3 linked regions of the Canis lupus familiaris genome follow. The protein of the gene in region 2 purifies or fractionates together with the protein of the main gene of each other region. This does not show direct contact. Links are inferred from orthologs where the notes say so. Each region holds a gene or a part of one and is shown on either strand. Other genes may lie near its edges. The genes, in order: CSNK2B, NKAP and DHX8.

Evidence for each region.
Region 1: the proteins of NKAP (region 2) and CSNK2B purify together in Homo sapiens (co-immunoprecipitation; 3 studies listed by BioGRID and IntAct, counting the BioPlex papers as one, with this or other methods). This does not show direct contact. The link is inferred for Canis lupus familiaris from reciprocal best matches to the Homo sapiens genes NKAP and CSNK2B.
Region 3: the proteins of NKAP (region 2) and DHX8 purify together in Homo sapiens (co-immunoprecipitation; 3 studies listed by BioGRID and IntAct, with this or other methods). This does not show direct contact. The link is inferred for Canis lupus familiaris from reciprocal best matches to the Homo sapiens genes NKAP and DHX8.

Annotation. Positions count from the first base shown.
Region 1 is NC_049233.1:1,285,168-1,291,963, forward strand, and holds the start of CSNK2B (casein kinase II subunit beta), read left to right. Parts: upstream 1-2,950; 5' UTR 2,951-3,040; coding exon 3,041-3,089; exon of another isoform or gene 3,090-3,168; intron 3,169-3,179; exon of another isoform or gene 3,180-3,587; intron 3,588-3,687; exon of another isoform or gene 3,688-3,840; intron 3,841-3,963; exon of another isoform or gene 3,964-4,111; intron 4,112-4,432; coding exon 4,433-4,515; intron 4,516-5,250; coding exon 5,251-5,353; intron 5,354-5,911; coding exon 5,912-6,027; intron 6,028-6,660; coding exon 6,661-6,736; intron 6,737-6,796. Other genes in the region: GPANK1 (G patch domain and ankyrin repeat-containing protein 1), read right to left, coding at 4-448, 1,440-2,050. UniProt on the Homo sapiens protein: Regulatory subunit of casein kinase II/CK2.
Region 2 is NC_049260.1:92,631,448-92,638,265, forward strand, and holds the start of NKAP (NF-kappa-B-activating protein), read right to left. Parts: upstream 4,337-6,818; 5' UTR 4,188-4,336; coding exon 3,790-4,187; intron 1-3,789. UniProt on the Homo sapiens protein: Acts as a transcriptional repressor. Plays a role as a transcriptional corepressor of the Notch-mediated signaling required for T-cell development. Also involved in the TNF and IL-1 induced NF-kappa-B activation.
Region 3 is NC_049230.1:19,634,246-19,640,289, reverse strand, and holds part of DHX8 (ATP-dependent RNA helicase DHX8), read left to right. Parts: intron 1-2,374; coding exon 2,375-2,460; intron 2,461-3,210; coding exon 3,211-3,283; intron 3,284-3,860; coding exon 3,861-3,946; intron 3,947-4,861; coding exon 4,862-4,971; intron 4,972-5,359; coding exon 5,360-5,707; intron 5,708-6,044.

The sequences.
Region 1 (6,796 bases), on a different chromosome or scaffold from region 2:
AGGTCAGAACTCAAGGTTCATGTATGTCCTCAGATCCCACTCCCAGGCCCTGTCTTTCTCCTCCTGCCTTCTCTCCTCTCTCCAGCTCAGTGTGGTCACCCGAGGGGCTCTCTCCCTCCCAGCTATGGCCCGAGTATCTCGGGCCAGAAAGTGTGTGACTCGGGGTTGGGGCACCGATCTGTAGCCTAATCCTTCCTGGTCCCTCTTGAGGACAGTGGGGATGGGGTTGGTGCGGCCCTCACCCCGGGGTCCCAGCCCCATTCCAGGCTCCCAGCCTCCCCTCAGCAGCAGCTTAAAGCCTGGGCTGGAGGCGGGCACCCCAAGGGGCAGGTTGGGGGACCTGAGATCACGAGGCAGTGACAGCAGGTGAGCAGTGGATGTCCAATGATTAGAGTCTTGGAAGTGAGCATTGCAGGTCTCGCAGTACTGGAAGGAAGGGGATTGGGACCTGTAGGGGAAAAAGAGAAAGAGATGAGGGCAGGGGAAGAGTGGAGGGAGTGGAGAGGGAGGCAGGCAGAGCGGGGTGGCAAGGTGGGAAGTCCTTCTAGCCTTTCTGCTAAGAAAGAAATTGCCTTCCAACCCACTTAGCAATGAGGGACCCAGAGGGGAACAGCTAGAAGAAATAGCAACCAGGCTTCACAAGATCTTGGGCAAGGCATAATAACTACAATTTATATATATATTTATATATGTATATTTATATATATATAGTTTAAAAAAATTTTTTTTTTTTTTTATGATAGTCACAGAGAGAAAGAGAGAGAGAGAGAGGCAGAGACATAAGCAGGCTCCATGCACCGGGAGCCCGATGTGGGATCCGATCCCGGGTCTCCAGGATCGCGCCCTGCGCCACCAGGGATCCCCTATATATATGTATATAGTTAATCCCCTATATATATATATTAACTATATATATATATATATGGTAAACCGTCATCCTAACACTTTACATATATTGACCCATTAAATCCTCACAATTCTTTAACAGGTGCTCTTGTTACCCCCCATTTCTCAGATAAGGAAAATGAGGCACATAAAAATTAGGTTGCTTGACCAAGTAAGTAGAATCAGAATTTAAACCCAGGGAGCTGGGACACCTGGGTGGCTCAGCGGTTGAGCGCCTGCCTTTGGCCCAGGGTGTGATCCTGGAGACCTTGGATGAGTTCCACATCGGGCTCCCTGCAGGGAGCCTGCTTCTCCCTCTGCCTCTCTCTCTCTCTCTGTGTCTCTCATGAATAAATAAATAAAAATCTTAAAAAAACACACACACAAAAAAAACAGGGAGCTCACATTTACTACTACTCGATTCCATTGCCATATCAACCTACACTGGGGATCAGGGAGAGAATCTTTGAGTCTGTTCCGGAGCCTCTGGCATGGAGGGACTAGGAAGGGCAGAACACACTGAAAGATGGGCATGGGTTAAGGCTTCCTCTCACCGGTTCTCTGGATTCCTCGTCTCTCCGTGGCTCTCTCGGACCATGCGCGCCACCTCAGGAAAACCCGCTTCTTCAGCCAGCTGAGCAGCATCCTTGCCACCCAGCTCACAGACACCCACCCAGGCAGCTCCACGGCCCAGGAGATAGCGCACAGCAGCCCCCTGGCCTGCTCGAGCAGCACACATCAGGGGGGTCCACCAGAAGGCATCCCGAGCATTGATATTGCCCCCCGCTCCCCCTGCCTCGTGGGGATCCAAGAGCCTTCTTAGTTCTGCTAGGTCACCCTCCTGGGCTGCCCTCAGTATCCAATGGGTCATCTTGTCCTCTGCCTCAAGGGATCTCCTTTGTCCATGTCCTGCTGAGGCTCCTACAGCAGCTTCCCCCATCATTCTTCTCTTCTTCCTCTTTCTTTTCCTGTCAGGTTCAGGCTGAGATCTCTGGGATGCAGGGATGCTGCTCTCTTCTGCAATCAGGGCCTCATAGAAAGCCCGGGCTGCAGCCCCATTCAGGGTGGGCTCCAGCTCTTCAGGCTGTGACTGCTGCTGCCCATCTTTCCAGAGGTCACTGGGGTTGGTGGCCGGGGTGAAGGTGATGAGGGAGGGCCTGGACATGGCTTTTGGGAGAACTGAGACAATGAGACTAATTAAAGGGCGTATGAGACAAGCAAGCCAATCCCTTGGTGGCTCTGCACTGACCAGAACCACCTCCACAGATCTGCTGGGATGAGGAAAAGTAGCCTTTTCCAAGTCAAAAACCCGTCTTATACTCTAAGTGACCCCACAACCTAGGACCCTACAGGGCCTAAGGACCATAGGTCATGTGGAAAAACAGGGAGCCATACAATAACAGCCCATATCCCTCGTAAAGGTTAACTTAACAAAGATTTAATGAGAATTGCCCAGAGGCCCATCCCTATCCTCACCAATAAGTAAAAACAGCTTCTCTCTCAAACTACTTGATCACCAGGTAAGACGTGCAGTTAAGAAAACAATCAGCCTAGCCCTTTAAATCTTCCTTGATCCTATGTCAGGGTAGGGTCTTTCCAAACAAAAACAGACTTTTAACCTTCTCCGGATGCAAGAAGAAGATTTGGGGGAGAAACTCCAGTCTCTGTGGAGACCCCACAGGGTCTCTGTACCACAAAAATTTTATCTAAGCAAAGGTGCTGCCAGTCCAATAGCCACACGACCCAGACACACATGTGTGACTGAAAAAAAAATCAACCACCACAAAGCAGAACTTGAGGGTGCGGGCGTGTGCGAAGCGCCAGGCTGAGCCTTCGCACGGTGGGACCCTCCAGGATGCCACGTGCCCAGGCAGCGCGAGGACAGAGGCTCTGTCGGTTGGGGTCCTACTTCTACATAACGCCCCACAATGCCCTTCGCCTCCCGGAACGTGGCCCCCCACTCCGAGCGCAGTTTTTGGACCTGCGAAACCACCGAGTTAAGGAGGGCTCTGAGAAGGCGGGAGGAAACCTGTGGAATGCCCCGAAGCCGTGAAGTGAAATAACGTCACGCCACCCCTCACCATTATTCTGAGCAGGGTTCGAAGGTCACACTTAGTGCCCGCAGCAGAAGGCCCCATTCAAGCTCTGAGAGGAGATGGAAAAGTGCAAGGGGACGAGCAGCAGAATGGCTGGCGCCACTTCAGGTTAGCGCACAGGCCGTCCCAATTCTCACACCGCTCACCTCAGCCCAGCCCACTCTTCCCACGTCCCGCAAGCAAGGAGCCCGGCCTCACCTCCCGCCTGAGGAGACTAGACCCCGGGGTGAAGCACCGGCCCGGGTGGGGCCTCCAGTGGCGGGCCTGACTCTGGCGAGAGGCTCCGCAGGCAACAAGGACCCGGTGGGGTAGTCGGGGACGAGGTCAGCACCCTGGGCTGCCGGCAAACACCTGGGGCAGAGCCTCGCTGTGTGAGGGGAGTTGCAGGAATCCAGCCCTCCAGCCCCGTTCCTTCCCCGCCCCCTCCCGGCCCCTCAGTTGCGCGACCCTACGACTCTATTTCCCATACTCCCTGGCCCAGAACGGGGTACTGCGCTTCCGCTTCCGGTGGTATCCCGCTGCTCCCCACCCCCGAGCGTCTTGTTCCTGGGCCTCGCGACGCCAGGGTCGTTCGTGGGTCATCCTGGGATTCGTAGTTCGCCTGTTCTTCGCTTCGCCAGTTTCTCTTTACCTGGGACTCCATTTCCCGGCGTTCACTGCGGCGCCCGACCCTTGGCGCTTGCGCGTTGCCCTCTCCCCACCCTCCCCAATTTCCACACACACCGCCCCCCGCCCCCCCCCCCTCGCTACTTCGCCTGCCGCGGTCGGGTCCGCGGCCTGCGCTGTAGCCGTCGCGGTTCTTTGGAAGCAGCAACTCCCCTCCCCCACCCCGGTCCCGGTCCCGGTCCCCGCCCAGCCGGTGAGTCTGAGGTCGTTGCCGCATCGAGTCTTCCGTCCTTAGGCGCGGCACATGGGGTCTCCGCGCGTTGGTGTGGGGGTGGGGAAGGAAGTGACCCGGTCCGGCACCGGGGGAGGGAGGGTTGGCCTGAGAGGCGGGGTGTGGGGACTCCTGTGAGAGGGACCCAGGGCCACCTCCAGGTCGTGAGGGGAAAGGGTCCTGGCTTTTGCTTGGAAAGGATAAACTTCGGAACCCTTGGGAAAGGTGTCGGGGACATGCGGAGACCTGCGGGGTAGGGATCTCGAGCCGAGAGCCCTGCGAGGGAGGGACTTGACGTAAAGAGGAGAGGGTGCTGGTTTTCGGGATTGTTAGGGGTGTGGGTAGGACGGGTGAGCCTAGACCTGTCGGTTTTTCAGAAGTGGTGGGACTCCAAAGAGCCTCTAGTGAATAAGAGGAATTGGAGGCAGGTGCGCCAGGGTCTAGGATCCTTTAAGAAAAGGGGGCTCCAAATTCTTCCATGGTCGGGGAGCAGAGTGTGGGGAGGAGGGAAGGTACCAGAGACAGGGTGGGGGAGCTTGGCCTTTGTTTACCCTCTTTTTTTTTTTTTTCCCAGCTGACGTGAAGATGAGCAGCTCAGAGGAGGTGTCTTGGATATCCTGGTTCTGTGGGCTCCGTGGCAATGAATTCTTTTGTGAAGTGAGTTCTCAATCTCCCAGCTATGTCCGCACAAAGTTTGGCTGTATGTTTTTCCACATATTTAGCTTCTACTTCTCTTACAGGCTGTCATAGAAACTTTTTCCTGTCAAGGAAGAGTCCCTTCAGTAACTCCCCTCACTAATTTGTGAAGTGGCAAGACTTGCCCATCCCAAGCCTGTTACTGTCCAGCGGTGTAATATTGGAAAAGTCAACTTTATTACTACTACTACTACTACTGTTATTCTTATTATTATTGCTAGGCTTGTACTAGTAGTGCTTAATTTGGGAGCCTATTAGGATTAAAATGCCGTTTATCAAAATGTTTTGTAACAGGCAAAGTTTTGTGCTAATGATATAATGGATTATAACTGCCCACAGGACCCAAGCTGTTTAGTCGCTGCTTTTCTTAGAGTTCTAGCTGCCGGTAAGGAGAGGACAAAACTGGTCTGTAGAGATGGGATCAAGAATAGGAACAGGGATTTTAAAAGGAGTGTCTCGTTAAGGAAGAGATTGTTGTAGCTGCTTATCCTTAGGAAAGAAAAGCCAGAGCTTTTATGGGAAGGCAGTGTATGTGAACTGGGGAGAGAGACTCAAGGATTTCTGCTGAGTTGGTGTGGGGAATTAGGGAAAACAGAAGCAGTTGTGTTGGAAACAAGGCACCAATTAGAGCAATGTGCCCAGATCAAAGCTGAGGATTCTGCTATGGGTTTCTTCTTGACTTCCACATCCTGACAGGTGGATGAAGACTACATCCAGGATAAATTCAATCTCACTGGACTCAATGAGCAGGTGCCTCACTATCGACAAGCTCTAGACATGATCTTGGACCTGGAGCCTGGTGAGGCATCCTCGGGGTTATCTTTGTGTGTGTGTGTGTGTGTGTGTGGTTTTTCTTTTTTCTCCCAAATTCCTGTTGATCTGCTTCTTGAATTTCTAAATTTCCTTTTGGTTCTCTGATTGCTTTTGTCCTAAGTTCTGTACTTTATTTTGCTCTCTCATCTGACTTTTGCCTGGATTTGTGACAGCCTCATTCTACACTCTGATCCTGTAACTTGGCTCTCTCCCTTAATGTTAGTTTCCTCATGGATCTCATTTCCTGCTTACCTGTCTTGCCTTGCACCTTTCAGTCTAGAGTTCCAGCTTCTATGTTGATCTTTTTCATTTATGTGTTGAGAGAGTTGGGAGGGAGAGAAGAGAGTAAAGGCTGAAGAGGTATAGAGAGAAGGCAGAGCTGCCTTGGGTGGGTGGGTGGAAGGGCCAGAGGCCCAGGTTTCTGGGTCAAATGCCCAGGTGATGGGTGGCGCAAAGATGAGTAGCCAGCAGCCCCTGGAGGTGGATGGGGCACCTAAGAAAGCTGTAAGACAAGTGATTGCAATTGGCTGCGGCCATGTTTCAGATGAAGAGCTGGAAGACAACCCCAACCAGAGCGACCTGATTGAGCAGGCAGCCGAGATGCTTTATGGATTGATCCACGCCCGCTATATCCTCACCAACCGTGGCATCGCCCAGATGGTGAGGCCTCTCTGCTCCCACTTGACTCCTCTGAGGTAGTAAGGGAAACAGGTTCTTGCAGCAAGGAGTCACGTTTTCAAACTTGTCACAGATTATAGCTAAGAAGAGGGGAAGAGGGCGCCTGGGTGGCTCAGAGGCTGAGCGTCTGCCTTCGGCTCAGGTTGTGATCCTGGGGTCCTGGGATTGAGTCCCGCATTGGGCTCCCCGCAGGGAACCTGCCTCTTCTCTTGCCTGTGTCTGTCTCTCTTTCTGTCTCTCGTGAATAAATAAAATCTTTAAGAAAAAAAAAAGGAGGGGGAAGAACCCCAGAACCTGGGCCTGGGGATTAAATCCTAATTGGGGTTGTGCTGACTGAGGTATTTTCAGGGAGGGAGACGTGACCTTGGACAGGAATTTTTTGCAGTCTGCCTCTTCCTCAGGGAACAAACAGCAAATGGCTCTGATGGTCTGTAACTTGCCTACCTGGAGAAAAGGAAGCAGGGGAGTAGGAGGGCCCATCTGGCCAGCTTAAAATGGGCATCTGGACGGAAGGAGGCAGGAGTGGAGGACAGAGCAATGTGGGTTGGACTGAGGAGGGGATTGCCTCTTCTTTTCATACCTACCCACCGGCCCCTTTCATTTTATTCACCTCAGTTGGAAAAGTACCAGCAGGGAGACTTTGGCTACTGTCCCCGTGTGTACTGTGAGAACCAGCCAATGCTTCCCATCGGTGAGTGTTGGAGAAGGGAAAGGAGGCCTCATGAAATGGCCAGTCCTCTGGGAAGGAAAT
Region 2 (6,818 bases):
TAAATTTCATTTTTAACATAGAGAACACAAAAGCACTTATACAGTCCCTGACAGGACACTTAATAAGCTGTAGATATTATGACTTACACAGCAATAATTATAATCCATTTCCTTTCAATCCTTCTTAAACTATCCACTTTTCCACTCCAAAACTCATGAGAGGACACCTGATCTCACACTGACCTCATTTTTCATGGTCAAGCTGAGACCATTTAACAAGACCTTTTTCAATGTAGCTTAATCAACAGTTTAGCAGATCACTTTTGCTCCACTGAACCATCTTGTCTCAGAGGTTTTTCTCCCCTCCAATTTAAACTTTTTTTTTATAACCAATTTAAACTTTTAATCTCAAGCCTTCCAAACTTGGTAGGAAACATTTCCACTTACAAAACCTGTTACCTCAAGCCTGTCTGATCATCCAACAAGCAACGGTTGTTCGCCTACAAAGTGCTAGGCTCTGCTAATTTTGTGATCAATTAAAATACGTCTCTTCTTTTCCAGGAGCTCAGTCTCTAGTGTGAAATAAAAACATGCTTACAAAAAATAATGACACAACCAAGCAAGTACTGTAATTCTCATAGGTGTGAGGTTCAGAAGAGAACCCCTAAAAGCCAGAAGGCAGAAGAAAGCAGTGAGACACCAGGGTGCTCCCTATGAAGCCACTCGAGGAAGAGGAGGAGGAGGGAAAACCCAAGGGACGAGAGGGGTGGAAAAAGGCATTGTGTGTGGAGGGGACCTATGGGATGGAAAAGGGTCGAAAAAGGCACTGCAGGCAGGGGGGTGGGACTGAAGGAGGAGAAAAGGAGGAACAAGAGGTTGTGGGGTGGAGACTGAAGGGGTAGAAAAGACTGGGAAAAGGTTGCGGAGGAGGAGTGGAAACTAAGGGATAGAAAAGGGTAGGAAAAGGCATTGGGAGAGGGACTTAAGGGATAGAAAAGGCAGAAAAGGTATTGAGGGAGACTGAAGGGATGGAATGGGATGGAAAAAGGCAAGTGGGGACTAAAGGCATAGAAAAGGGTGGAAAAGGCACTGAGGGGAACTGAAGGGATAAAAAAGGGGGGGAAGGATTGGGGGAGGCTGAAAGGAGAGAAAAGAGGGAAAAAGGTGTGTGAGGGGAAGGAAGGGAGAGAAAAGCGTGGGAAGAGACTGGGGGCGGAGGGTATGACCAAAGGCATAGAAAGGGGTTGCAAAAGGCACTGGGGGGACTGAAGGATAGAAAACGGGGAAAAAGTGTTGGGGGGCTGAAGGGATTGAAAAGAGTAGAAAAAGGGATTGGGGGGACTGAGGGGATTGAAAAAAGAGAAAGGTGTTGTAGGAGGGACTTAGGGATAAAAAAGAGTGGGAAGAGGTTGGGGGGTAGAGTGGGACTACAGGTATAGAAAAGGGTGGAAAAAGGCATTAGGGGGACTGAAGGGATAGAAAAGGGTGGGAAGAGACTGGTGGGAGAGTGGGTCCAATGACACAGAAGAGGGTGGAAAGAGACATTGAGGGGGACTGAAGGGATGGAAAAGGGTGTTGGGGGAAGACTGAAGCGACAGAAAAGGGTGGGAAGAGGTTAAGAGGGAGTGTGACCAAATGTTGGAGAGGATGCGGAGAAAAGGGAACCCTCTTGCACTGTTGGTGGGAATGTGAAATGGTGCAGCTACTCTGGAAAATTGTGTGGAGGTTCCTCAAAGAGTTAAAAATAGACCTGCCCTACGACCCAGCAATTGCACTGCTGGGGATTTACCCCAAAGATACAGATGCAATGAAATGCCGGGACACCTGCACCCCGATGTTTCTAGCAGCAATGTCCACAACAGCCAAACTGTGGAAGGAGCCTCGGTGTCCATCGAAAGATGAATGGATAAAGAAGCTGTGGTCTATGTATACAATGGAATATTACTCAGCCATTAGAAACGACAAATACCCACCATTTGCTTCAACGTGGATGGAACTGGAGGGTATTATGCTGAGTGAAATAAGTCAATCGGAGAAGGACAAACATTATATGGCCTCATTCATTTGGGGAATATAAATAATAGTGAAAGGGAATAGAGGGGAAGGGAGAAGAAATGGGTAGGAAATATCAGAAAGGGAGACAGAACATGGAAGACTCCTAACTCTGGGAAACGAACTAGGGGTGGTGGAAGGGGAGGAGGGCAGGGGGTGGGGGTGACTGGGTGGCGAGCACTGAGGGGGGCACTTGACGGGATGAGCACTGGGTGTTATTCTGTATGTTGGCAAATTGAACACCAATAAAAAATAAATTTATTATTAAAAAAAAAGAGGGAGTGTGACCAAAAGGATAGAAAACATGCATTTTTGGAATGCATTGGAAAATGGAAAAAAGCACTGGGGGGAGTAAAAGGGTTAGAAAAGTGGGTAAAAGGGGGACTAAAGGGACAGAAAAGTGGAGGGGGGAAGAGGTTGAGGGGGGAGAGGCACTGAAGGCATAGAAAAGCATGGAAAAAGACATTGGCGGGTGACAGAAGGGATAGATAGCAAAGGGAAGAAAAGGTGTTGGGAGGTACTGAAGGGATAGCAAAGAGTGGGAGGGGAGGGACCGAAGGCATAGAAAACAGTGGAAAAAGACATTGGAGGGGGACTGAAGGACAGAAAAGTGCAGAAAAAGGTGTTGTGGAGGGGTGGGATTACAGGGATAGCAATGAGTGGGAAGAAGTTAGTTGGGGAGAGGGACTGAGGGCATAGAAACATGTGGAAAAAGACACTGGAAGGGGACTGAAGGGGATAGAAAAGGGTGGGAAAGGTTGAAGGGGGAGTGGGACCAAAGGGATACAAAAGCGTGGAAAAAGGCATTGGGGGGATTGAAGGGATAGAAAAGGGGGGAAACGTTTTGTGGTGGAGAATGAAGGGATTGAAAAGGGAGGAAAAGGTGCTGTGGAAAGTGACTGAAGAGATAGAAAAGGGAGAAAAAGAGGTTATGGGGGGGACTGAAGGGGTAGAAAAGGATGGGAAGAGGTTGGAGGGCGAGTGTGACTGAACACATAGAGAAGTGTTGAAAAAGGAATTGGCGGCGGGGGGGAACTGACGGGATAGAAAAGGGGGGGAAAAGGTGTTGGGGCGGAATGAAGGGATAGAAAAAAGGATGGGAAGAGGTTGCAGGGGGAGTGGGACCAAAGAGATAGAAAAGGTTTGAAATAGGTATGGGGGGAACTGAAGAGCTAGAAAAGGAGGGGGGAAAGGGTGTTGTGGTTGGGGAATGAAGGGATAGAAAAGGGGGAAAAAGGTTATGGGGGGACTGGTAGTGGTAGAAAAAGGTGGGAACAGGTTGGGAAGGAGTGGGTCCAAAGGGATAGAAATAGCTAGAAAAGGCATTGCGGGGGGGCAGGGGGCGGACTGAAGGGATAGAAAAAGGTGGGAAGAGGTTGGGGGAGAAGTGGGGTCGAAGGCATAGAAAAGGGTTGAAAAAGGCATTGAGGGGGACAGAAGGGATAGAAAAAGGTGGGAAAAGGCATGGGAGGGACTGAAGGCATAGAAAAGGGGAGAAAAGGTCTTGTAGGGGGGTGGGTCCGACGGGACAGAAAAGGGTGGGAAGAACTTGCGGGGGGCGGGGGAGTAGGACCAAAGGGATAGAAAAGGGCTGAAAACGGCGTTGACAGGGAAGGCTGGAGGGGCTGAAGGGATAGAAAGTGGGGGGGGGGGGGGGCGTTGACAGGGAAAGGGGTGGGGCTGAAAGCGGCGCGAGGCAGAGAGTGAAAACCGAATAGTCTGAAGGGGGATGAACGGTGAGACAGACACGGAAGTCGGGTGGGCTCCTGCAAGAGAAGGCGTGCCCGTCACACTCACTTCTGCCGCAGGCTCTCCTCCCTCTCCTTGTCCAGAAGGCTAGGCCACGGCTTGTCACTTCCGTAGGGACGCGAGTAGCCGCCATAATACGCAGTCGAGGAGGCAGAAAAGAAGGGGTTACCCCGCGGCGCAGAGGGCCGCTCCCGGGAGCGGGATCGGGAGCGGGATCGGTAGGACTGGTTTCGGGACCCTTGGCTGAAGCCACCCAGCTGATGGCTGAGACCATTCCGGTCCCCAGAGCGAGAGCAGGAGTGCGAGCGAGAGCTCGAGCGCGAGCGGCGGCCCCGCGGGGAGCGGGCGGATCTGCTGGGCTTAGGGCTCTTTGACGAGCTGCGACGCTTCGACCCGGAGCCCGAGGCCTCCCTCTCTGGGCTGCGGGAACCCGACACTGGAGCCATCACAGGCACTGGGTCCCCTAAGCCGCTAGAGAAGCGGGCGCTCTCGCGAGCCTCGGGAGATCTCGGTTGGTTTAGGTCCCCAGACCCGCCGTGGCGCCGCCACCCTAACCTGGGGAAACCTTGGAAACAGTTCCGGGTACGTCGGCAAATCCCTTCCCCCGACCTAGGTAGTCCTACCCACGGGACTGTGATGGGTGTAGCGGTATAAAGAGGTCGTGGGGCAACCGGGTCCACTCATCCTTCCGGTCCTGAGTGAGGCTGCTCACATCTAACCCGGACTGCGGAGCTTGTCCTTTCTGCAGCGTTCAATTGAAATACCTGAAGGGAAGGGCGATAGGCCACAGCGGCCGTGTGAATAACAAAAGTTAGTGTAACTCTCTCTATATATGTGTTTGTATGGCGCTGTGTGTAGGAGCATACCCACCCCCACACGCATTTTTTTAAAGATTTTTATTTCAGAGAGCGCAGGCAGGAGCACAAGGGGGCGAGGGGAGAGGGAGAAGCAGCCCAAGGTGGGCTCCATCCCAGGACCCTGAGATCATGACCTGAGCTGGAGGCAGAGGCTTAAGCCACCCAGGCGCCCCCATAATTTTTTTCTCTCTAATCTCAAACAAAATAAGGAGCATCTATCAAAACTGGTGATGAGCTATGATGTCTAAGCCCTATTTTGACCAGTTAACTTAGAGGGCACAAATTCTTTGTTAATAACTTGAGCCTGATACACCACAGTTAAGTCTGTGGCCCAGAGAAAACTGCTTATTTATTCCCCAGAAATTCATCTCCGCTAATGTGCCCCTACTTGTCCAGCCCTGTAGACGAGTCCCATCATAAGGCAGCTCAGCAATACATGGCTAATACTTATTTATTCTATTCATTTTATACTGTTTTTATCTTTTTTATTTAAAAGAGAGAAAGAGAGGGAGGGATGGTCAGAGAGAGAGGGAGAAACAGACTCCCAGTTGAGCAGGGGCTCCCCTCGGGACTCAATCCCATGCCCCAATCCCAGGATCCTGGGATCATGACCTGAGCTGGAGGCGGAGGCTTAACTGACTGAGCCACTCAGGCGCCCTATTTTCTACTGTTTTTAAATAAAATAACATATGAACATTAATTCTACGGACTTTAATTTTTTTTAAGATTTTATTTATTTATTCATGAGAGACACAGAGAGGAGAGAGAGAGAGACAGAGAAGCAGGCTCCATGCCGGGAGCCTGACGCTGGCCCCAGGACTCGAACCCAGGTCTCCAGGATCACACCCTGGGCTGAAGGCGGCGCTAAACCACTGAGCCACCTGGGCTGCCCCGAACTTTAATTTTTGAGGGTACAATGAGTTCGCTGTGGAAATTCAGAATCCAGTCTACTAGTAGTCAGATGGCCTCTTGGGCTTTTCCTCCTAAAAAGCAACTTATGAGACCATGAACACTAATGCCATAGATTATTGGAAGTCTCCTCTTTTAGAATTTAAGGGAAAGATGCTAACATAATGTAAATGGAAAAAGTGGACCACACTATTGGGTATCTTCTAGGTAAAAACAGTCAATCATTGGATGAGGGCTATGGACTAAATTGAGTAGGAGAAATTATATGATTTGGGATGGGGATTTGGAGAAATTTCTAACAAGAAAGTTTTGGATGGGAAACCTACACCCAACTTTTGTGACACCAGGCTGTACACTTTCACGTCTACTGCCTATAAAAACCAACTTTGCAACAGCGCTTGGTCTACCTGCCCGATGGCTGGTAGGCATGCACTTTGATTCCAATAATAAAACCCATACCCCAGCGTCTCTGGTTGGCATGATACTAAAAAACAATAAAAAAGGAACATTTAGTATAATTTACCTGTGAAGCCATCTGGTCCTGGACTTTTGTTTGTTAGGAGTTTTTTGGCTACAGATTCAATTTCATTATTCTTTCATTGATTATTAGTAATCAGCCTGTTCATCTTTTCTATTTATTCTTGATTCAGTCTTGGAAGATTGTATGTTCCTAGGAATTTATCCATTTTTTTTCCAGATTGTGCTATTTGTGGGCATATAATTCTCTGTAGTACTCTCTTACAGTCCTTTATGTTCCCATGGTGTCACTGGTAACTTCTCTTTCATTTCTGATTTCATTCACCTGAGTCCCCTCTCTTTTTTTTTTCTTGACAAGTCTGGCTAAAGGTTTATAAATTTTGTTTATTTTTTCAAAGAACCAGCTCTTCATTTCACTACTTTCCTTATTGTTTTTTTTAGTCTCTATTTCTTTAAGATTTTATTTCTTTATTCATGAGAGACACAGAGAGAGAGTTGGAGACAGGCAGAGGGAGAAACAGGCTCCCTGCGGGGAACCTGATGTGGGACTCAGTCCAAAGACCCTGGACTCACCACCTGAGCCAAAGACAAATGCTCAACCACTGAGCCACCCAAACACCCCTTAGTCTCTATTTCATTTATTTCTACTCTGATCTTTATTATTTCTTTCCTTCTACTAACTTTGGGCTTTGTTTGTTCTTCTAGTTCCTCTAGGTATAAGGTTAGATTGTTTATTGGAGATTTTTATTTCTTGAAGTAGGCTTGTATTGCTGTAAACTTCTCTCTTAGAACTTGCTTTTGCTGTGTTCTAAAGATTTTTTAAAAGATTTATTT
Region 3 (6,044 bases), on a different chromosome or scaffold from region 2:
CATGTAATACTGCCCCACCCCAAACTTCAGTTGCTATTTGCAAGATCAGGTTGTCAACTTGTGCTGACTCAAGTCACTGTAGATCAGAGGTTCCAATGACCCTCCCCCCTCCTTGGGTTTGATTAATTTGCTAGAGCAGCTAACATTTTACTTCCTAGATTACCGGCTTATTATAAAAGGATATAACTCAGGGACAACCAAATGGAAGAGAGACGTAGGGCAAAGTATGTGGGAAAGATTGAGGAGCTTCCATGCTCTCTGAATGCCCCACTATCCTCAAATCTCCATATGTTCACCTACCTAGAAGCTGACCAAACCCAGTCCTTTTGGGTGTTTGTGGAGGCTTTGTTATAATAGGGATAATTGAAAAAAAACTGGCATAGTTGATTAAATCCTTGGCCATTGGTCAGCGAACTCCATCTCCAGCCCCTTCCCCCTCTCCAGAGGTCAGGGGTAGGGCTGAAAGTTCCAGTCTGTAATCTGCTAGTTGGTTTCCCTGGCAGCCAGCCTCCAGCCTCACCCTTATATAGGGGCTTTCCTAAAGTCATCTCCTTAATGTAACAAAAGACCTTTTTCACTCTCTGCACTGCAGAAATTCCAAGTTTTAGGAGTGCTGTGCCTGGAAAGGGGATGAAGACCAAACACATATTTCTTCTTACAATAAATCACAATATCACAGTGTTGAACATAGAATTATAAAATCAGTAATGTTAAAATTACTAAAGTTGGAAAAATGTGATAGTATTGTTCTGTTGAAACGAAATTGCCAAAGTGGATTTAATAACAAAAAGGTATATATTTGCTACTTTTTTTTTTAAGATTTTATTTATTTATTCATGAAAGACACAGAGAGGCAGAGACATAGGCAGAGGGAGAAGCAGGCTCCATGCAGGGAGCCTGATGTGGGACTTGATCCTAGTACTCCAGGATCATGCCCTGGGCTGAAGGGAGGTGCTCAACCACTGAGCCACCCAGGCGTCCCTATATTTGCTACTTTTATATTTTATTTATTGACTTCATTCTTTTGATTTTGGTCTTAATATGTTATCTTTTTAAAATTAAATTTTTTTTTAAGGGAAATAAGAGGCAGAGGGGAGGGAGAAGAGACTAAAGAAGCAGGCTCCACACCCCCACGTGGAGCCTGACAGGGCTTGATCTCACCACCCTGAGATCATGACCTGAGCCAAAATCAGGAGTCAGATGGTTAACCCGAATGAGTCACCGAGGCACCCTGATGTATTATCATTTACATCGGTGTCATTATTGTCCCTGCTTTTCAGCATTGAACTTGTTTTTAATCACTAATTGATCTTTGGGGCACCTGGCTAGCTCAGTTGGTAGAGCTGTGTGACTCTTGATGTCCAGGTCATGATTTCTAGCCCCACGTTGGGTGTAGAGCTCGCTTAAAAAAAATCTGACTCACTAATTCATCTTTGATAGTTCAGTTAATTTAATGATGTCCCCTTATAATTCTGAAAATTTAAAAAAACCCTGATTAATGACAGCTGCAGTATGAATGTGCTGCTGATTGCTTTGGAATAGTCTCTTGAGGGGCACCTGGGTGGCTCAGTGGTTGAGTGTCTGCTTTTGGCACAGGGTGTGATCCCGGGGTCCTGGGATCGAGTCCTACATCAGGCTCTCCGCAAGGAGCCTGCTTCTCCCTCTGCCTATATCTCTGCCTGTCTCTCTGTATCTCTCATGAATAAATAAATAAAATCTTAAAAAAAAATAAAATCCAGATGAAATCAGTAACCATTTTCTTGTGGGGTTCACCATGTGAGGCTTATCTCAGCCCTCATAAAATGCACTTCTCTCCCAAAAGTCTCTTAATAAATAGCTCAAATATTAGAAATTTCAGACACTGGGCAGGTTTGTAGAGAAAAATCTGGGGGGCAAGTGAGTCTTTGATCCACTTGGAGATTGTACCATCCAGCAGCTGCCTGGCTCTCGTAGATGGATTGGGTCAGACCTACCTGAAACTGTAGAAAGCATCCTACTGTGTGCATCCATGGCAGTGGGAGGGAGAGGGCTCTTGCTTTTGGGCATTGATACCTCTGGAGTCTGTATGGCAATGCACACAGGTAGTAGTCTCATGAGAAGAGTACGATGATCTGGGACAGGGAGATATTTCTCCCTTAGATGCACTGAAGGGCCCACTGAGCCTTTCTGTATTAATATCTTTGCATTTCGAAAAATTAACTGGAACATACATAGATAATCTTGGTACTCTAAATTCTCTTATTTGACTCTCACTTGATGGGACTCTTTGGTTTTTATGACTGGTAGATAGGCTAATTGGTTTTGCTTTTAATGTACTTGAAAGTAATTTTTTGCTTGTCTTCACTCCAGTTTTAATTCCTTTTCTCCTCTGCAGCTGAATTCGTGATCAGTCTGGCTGAGAAAAATACCACCTTTGATACTTTTAAGGCTTCTCTGGTCAAAAATGGTGCTGAATTCACGGTATGTGTTCTTGGAGACCCCGGTTTCGTTTTAATGTCACTATTGAATTTAAATTTTGATAGGATTTCACATAGGATTTTGATGGAAAAGGGAGATAATTTGTACATACCAATCAAAGAAACCATTAAGTGTGTAATGTTTCATGCCACTGAGCAGTGGTAATATAACCGGATTTCCTGTGACACTTTTCTAGGAAAATGGGGCAGGATTTCCATCGTTAAGCCTTTTATGAGTGTTTATATTCTTGTTCTATGAAGTCAAAAACAAAAGAGTCTAGGTTTTGGAGGTAGTTCTAAATGGTGGAAAATAAAAACGGTTGACTGGAACTAAATTACTTTCCCCTCCCCCAAAGAGTCCTAAATATTAGCTTTCTCTGAAGCTACTTTGCTAGGTTCATGCCTATCAAGTTGAAACTCTGTGTTTCATTGTTTCAGTTGCCTCCATTCAGGTAACAATCACCTTTTCTTAGTTGGTTTTTTTTTTTTTTTTAAAGATGTATTTATTTTAGAGAGCACTTGAGCTGTGTGTGTGTTGGGGGTGGGGTGGGCAGGAGAGGGCCCCCAGGGTTAGAGAGAGAGAGAGTCTTAACCCTGTGTTGAGCATGGAGCCCAGCATGGGGCTCAGTCTCTCAACCTTGAGATCATGACCTGAGTGGAATCAAGAGTCAGGTACCACCCAGGTGCCCCTTTTTAAAGTGTTTTTAAGCACTGATTTAAGGGTTGATAATTTTTGTTCTGTTTCTTTTCAAAGGATTCTCTTATTAGTAACTTGCTGCGCCTCATACAAACCATGCGGCCTCCAGCAAAGCCTTCTACTAGCAAAGGTGAGTAGAACATCTGGCTGTGCCTAGCCTCCAGAATGGTTTAGAATGTGAGCATCCTGTAGACTGTGTTCCTTTTTTTTTTTTTTTTAAGATTATTTATTTATTCATGAGAGTCACAGAGAGAGGGCAGAGACAGAAGCAGAGGGAGAAGCAGGCCCCCCACAAGGAGCCTGATGCAGGACTTGATCGACCCCAGGATCACACCCTGAGCCGAAGGCAGACACTCAACTGCTGAGCCACCTAGGTGTCCCTGTAGATTGTGTTCTTTCTCTAGCAGCTGCTGGGCCAAGTATACAATCTAGTAAAATTTTCCAAATGATTTAAAATTAAACTCATGAATTCTGATGTATCCCCTCCACACCCCCCACCACATGTGCAGATAGTTTGTTGAGGGTTTTGTCATCAGTGTTATTTTTAGGAAATTAAATTATGTTTATAGTAATGTGTATGAATAATATGTAGAAAAATGTCATGTTCAGTTTTTAGTTGGATGCAAATCTGATATTGAGGTTCTTTGTTTAAAATATTAAATCTTTTTTTTTTTTTTTTTAACTTCTTTATCTTTGATGAAAACAAGATCCAGTTGTTAAACCCAAAACCGGAAAAGAAAAGCTAAAGGAACTCTTCCCGGTCCTTTGCCAACCAGACAACCCTTCTGTCCGGGTACTGATCCCATTTTGAGAATCTCTGCTATCACTGGGTATTTCTCCTCCGTGTCCCTTTGCTTTGTCTCATTAGTTCCTAGTTTTAAGTTTATGTTCATTATATTTTTCAAACTAAAAGTGTTGGGCTGTTCTCTGAGCATGTACTATGTTCAGAGAATGATGTTTCAGGGAAGTGGTGTTGAGAATTGTGGGAAGCCATAATTAGGGATATGGAATAAGTATGAGACAGCTTAAGGTACTAGAACAGATACCTGATATGTGAAATTAGATTTTTTTTCTCTATTACATGTTAAAGGGTCTAATTTTTTAAGTGTTTTGATTTTTATTTAGCAAAATTATTTATTTATTTATTTGGCTAGTGTTCTTCTTTCATACCTGTGATGAGCAGAATTTCTTTTATCACTGGGGATTTTCACATATTATTTTTTAAGATTTTATTAATTTGAGAGAGAGCTAGTGCACTAGCCAGGGGAAGAGCAGAGGAAGAGGGAGAAACAGACTCCCTGCTGAGCAGGGAGCCCAATGTTGGGCTTGCTCCCGGGACCCTGAGTTCTGACCTGAGCTGAAGGCAGATGCTTTAACTGACTGAACCACCCAGGCACCCCTTAACATTTATTTTCAATTTATAATCATCACACAATGCTTTAACAGGAGAGGTGATAGCTAATTGCCCTCTGTGAGCTTGTATGAAGGCAAAGGGAAATTTGCTAAATGTAGCAGTGACTTCTAAGAGCCTTTGCGCATTCCTTCCGCCTCTCTCTCAAATTGTGTTGGAAATTTCCACCTGCTTCTGCTTCCTTCCCATACGTGGTTAGTGATATAGGGGCTGTCAGGTTTGTAGATGGACCTAGAGTGCAGATTCTCACATGATCATCTTCTCTCCTTCTAACTTTGCTGGCCTCTGCTGTTGTAGACCATGCTGGATGAAGATGATGTGAAAGTTGCTGTGGATGTCCTGAAAGAACTGGAGGCCTTAATGCCCAGTGCAGCGGGCCAGGAGAAGCAAAGAGATGCTGAGCACCGGTTTGTCCTTAGTGTCTTATCCTTTGGAGGTTTAGGGTACTGTAATAGTTGAATTTTGTGGACCAGCTAAGCAAAATTTTGGGCAAGTTTACAGAATCTAGGCTGGCCATGTACCACATAGTTAGATGTATTTCATTGTTCCCTGCAAAGAGTACTTAGGCAGGAGATGCCAAGTCATTCATAAGATAGAAATCTGGCTTGAAAGAGGCTGAATATGTTTGTGACCTCATCTTTTACTGGCCTGTGGGGGTTGTTGTAGTTAGGGAAACTCATTCAGTTCCACACTTAGTAGGTACCTGATGTGTGTGGCACTGTGCTAGGTGCTTGGGGATGCAGAAATGAAACTGCACTGGTGTCTTTTTCAAATAGTTGTTTGTTGATTTGTTAGGGACAAGGCAAAGAAGAAGAAGCGGAGCCGAAGCCGCGACCGTGACCGAGAGCGGGAGCGAGACCGTGATAGAGAACACAAGAGGAGACACCGGTCCCGCTCTCGGTCGCGTTCCAGGACCCGGGAAAGGAATAAAGGGAAGTCGAGGTATCGGTCCAGGAGCAGAAGTCAGAGTCCCCCCAAAGACAGGAAGGACCGGGACAAGTATGGGGAGAGGAACCTGGACAGATGGCGGGATAAGCATGTGGACCGTCCTCCCCCAGAAGAGCCTGCCATCGGGGACATTTACAATGGCAAAGTTACCAGCATAATGCAGTTTGGATGCTTTGTGCAGCTGGAGGGATTAAGGTAATGGCTGGTGCTCTTTCACACCTGTGATGGGCAGAATTGCTCTGATCACTGTGGATTTTCACATTATTATTATTATTTTTTAAGATTTTATTTATTTGAGAGAGTGAGATAGAGAGTGCACATGCACAAGCAAAGGGAGGCAGAGGGAAAGGGAGAAGCAGACTCCCTGCTGCACAGGGAGCCCAACATGGGGCTCAATCCAAGGACCCTGCCATCATGACCTGAGCTGAAGGCAGATGCTTAACCGACTGAGCCACCCTGCCTCTGGATTTTCGCATTCTAAAATGTTATGATTAATATTGCTTTAATCAAATCAACCATATCAGGTTGTTAG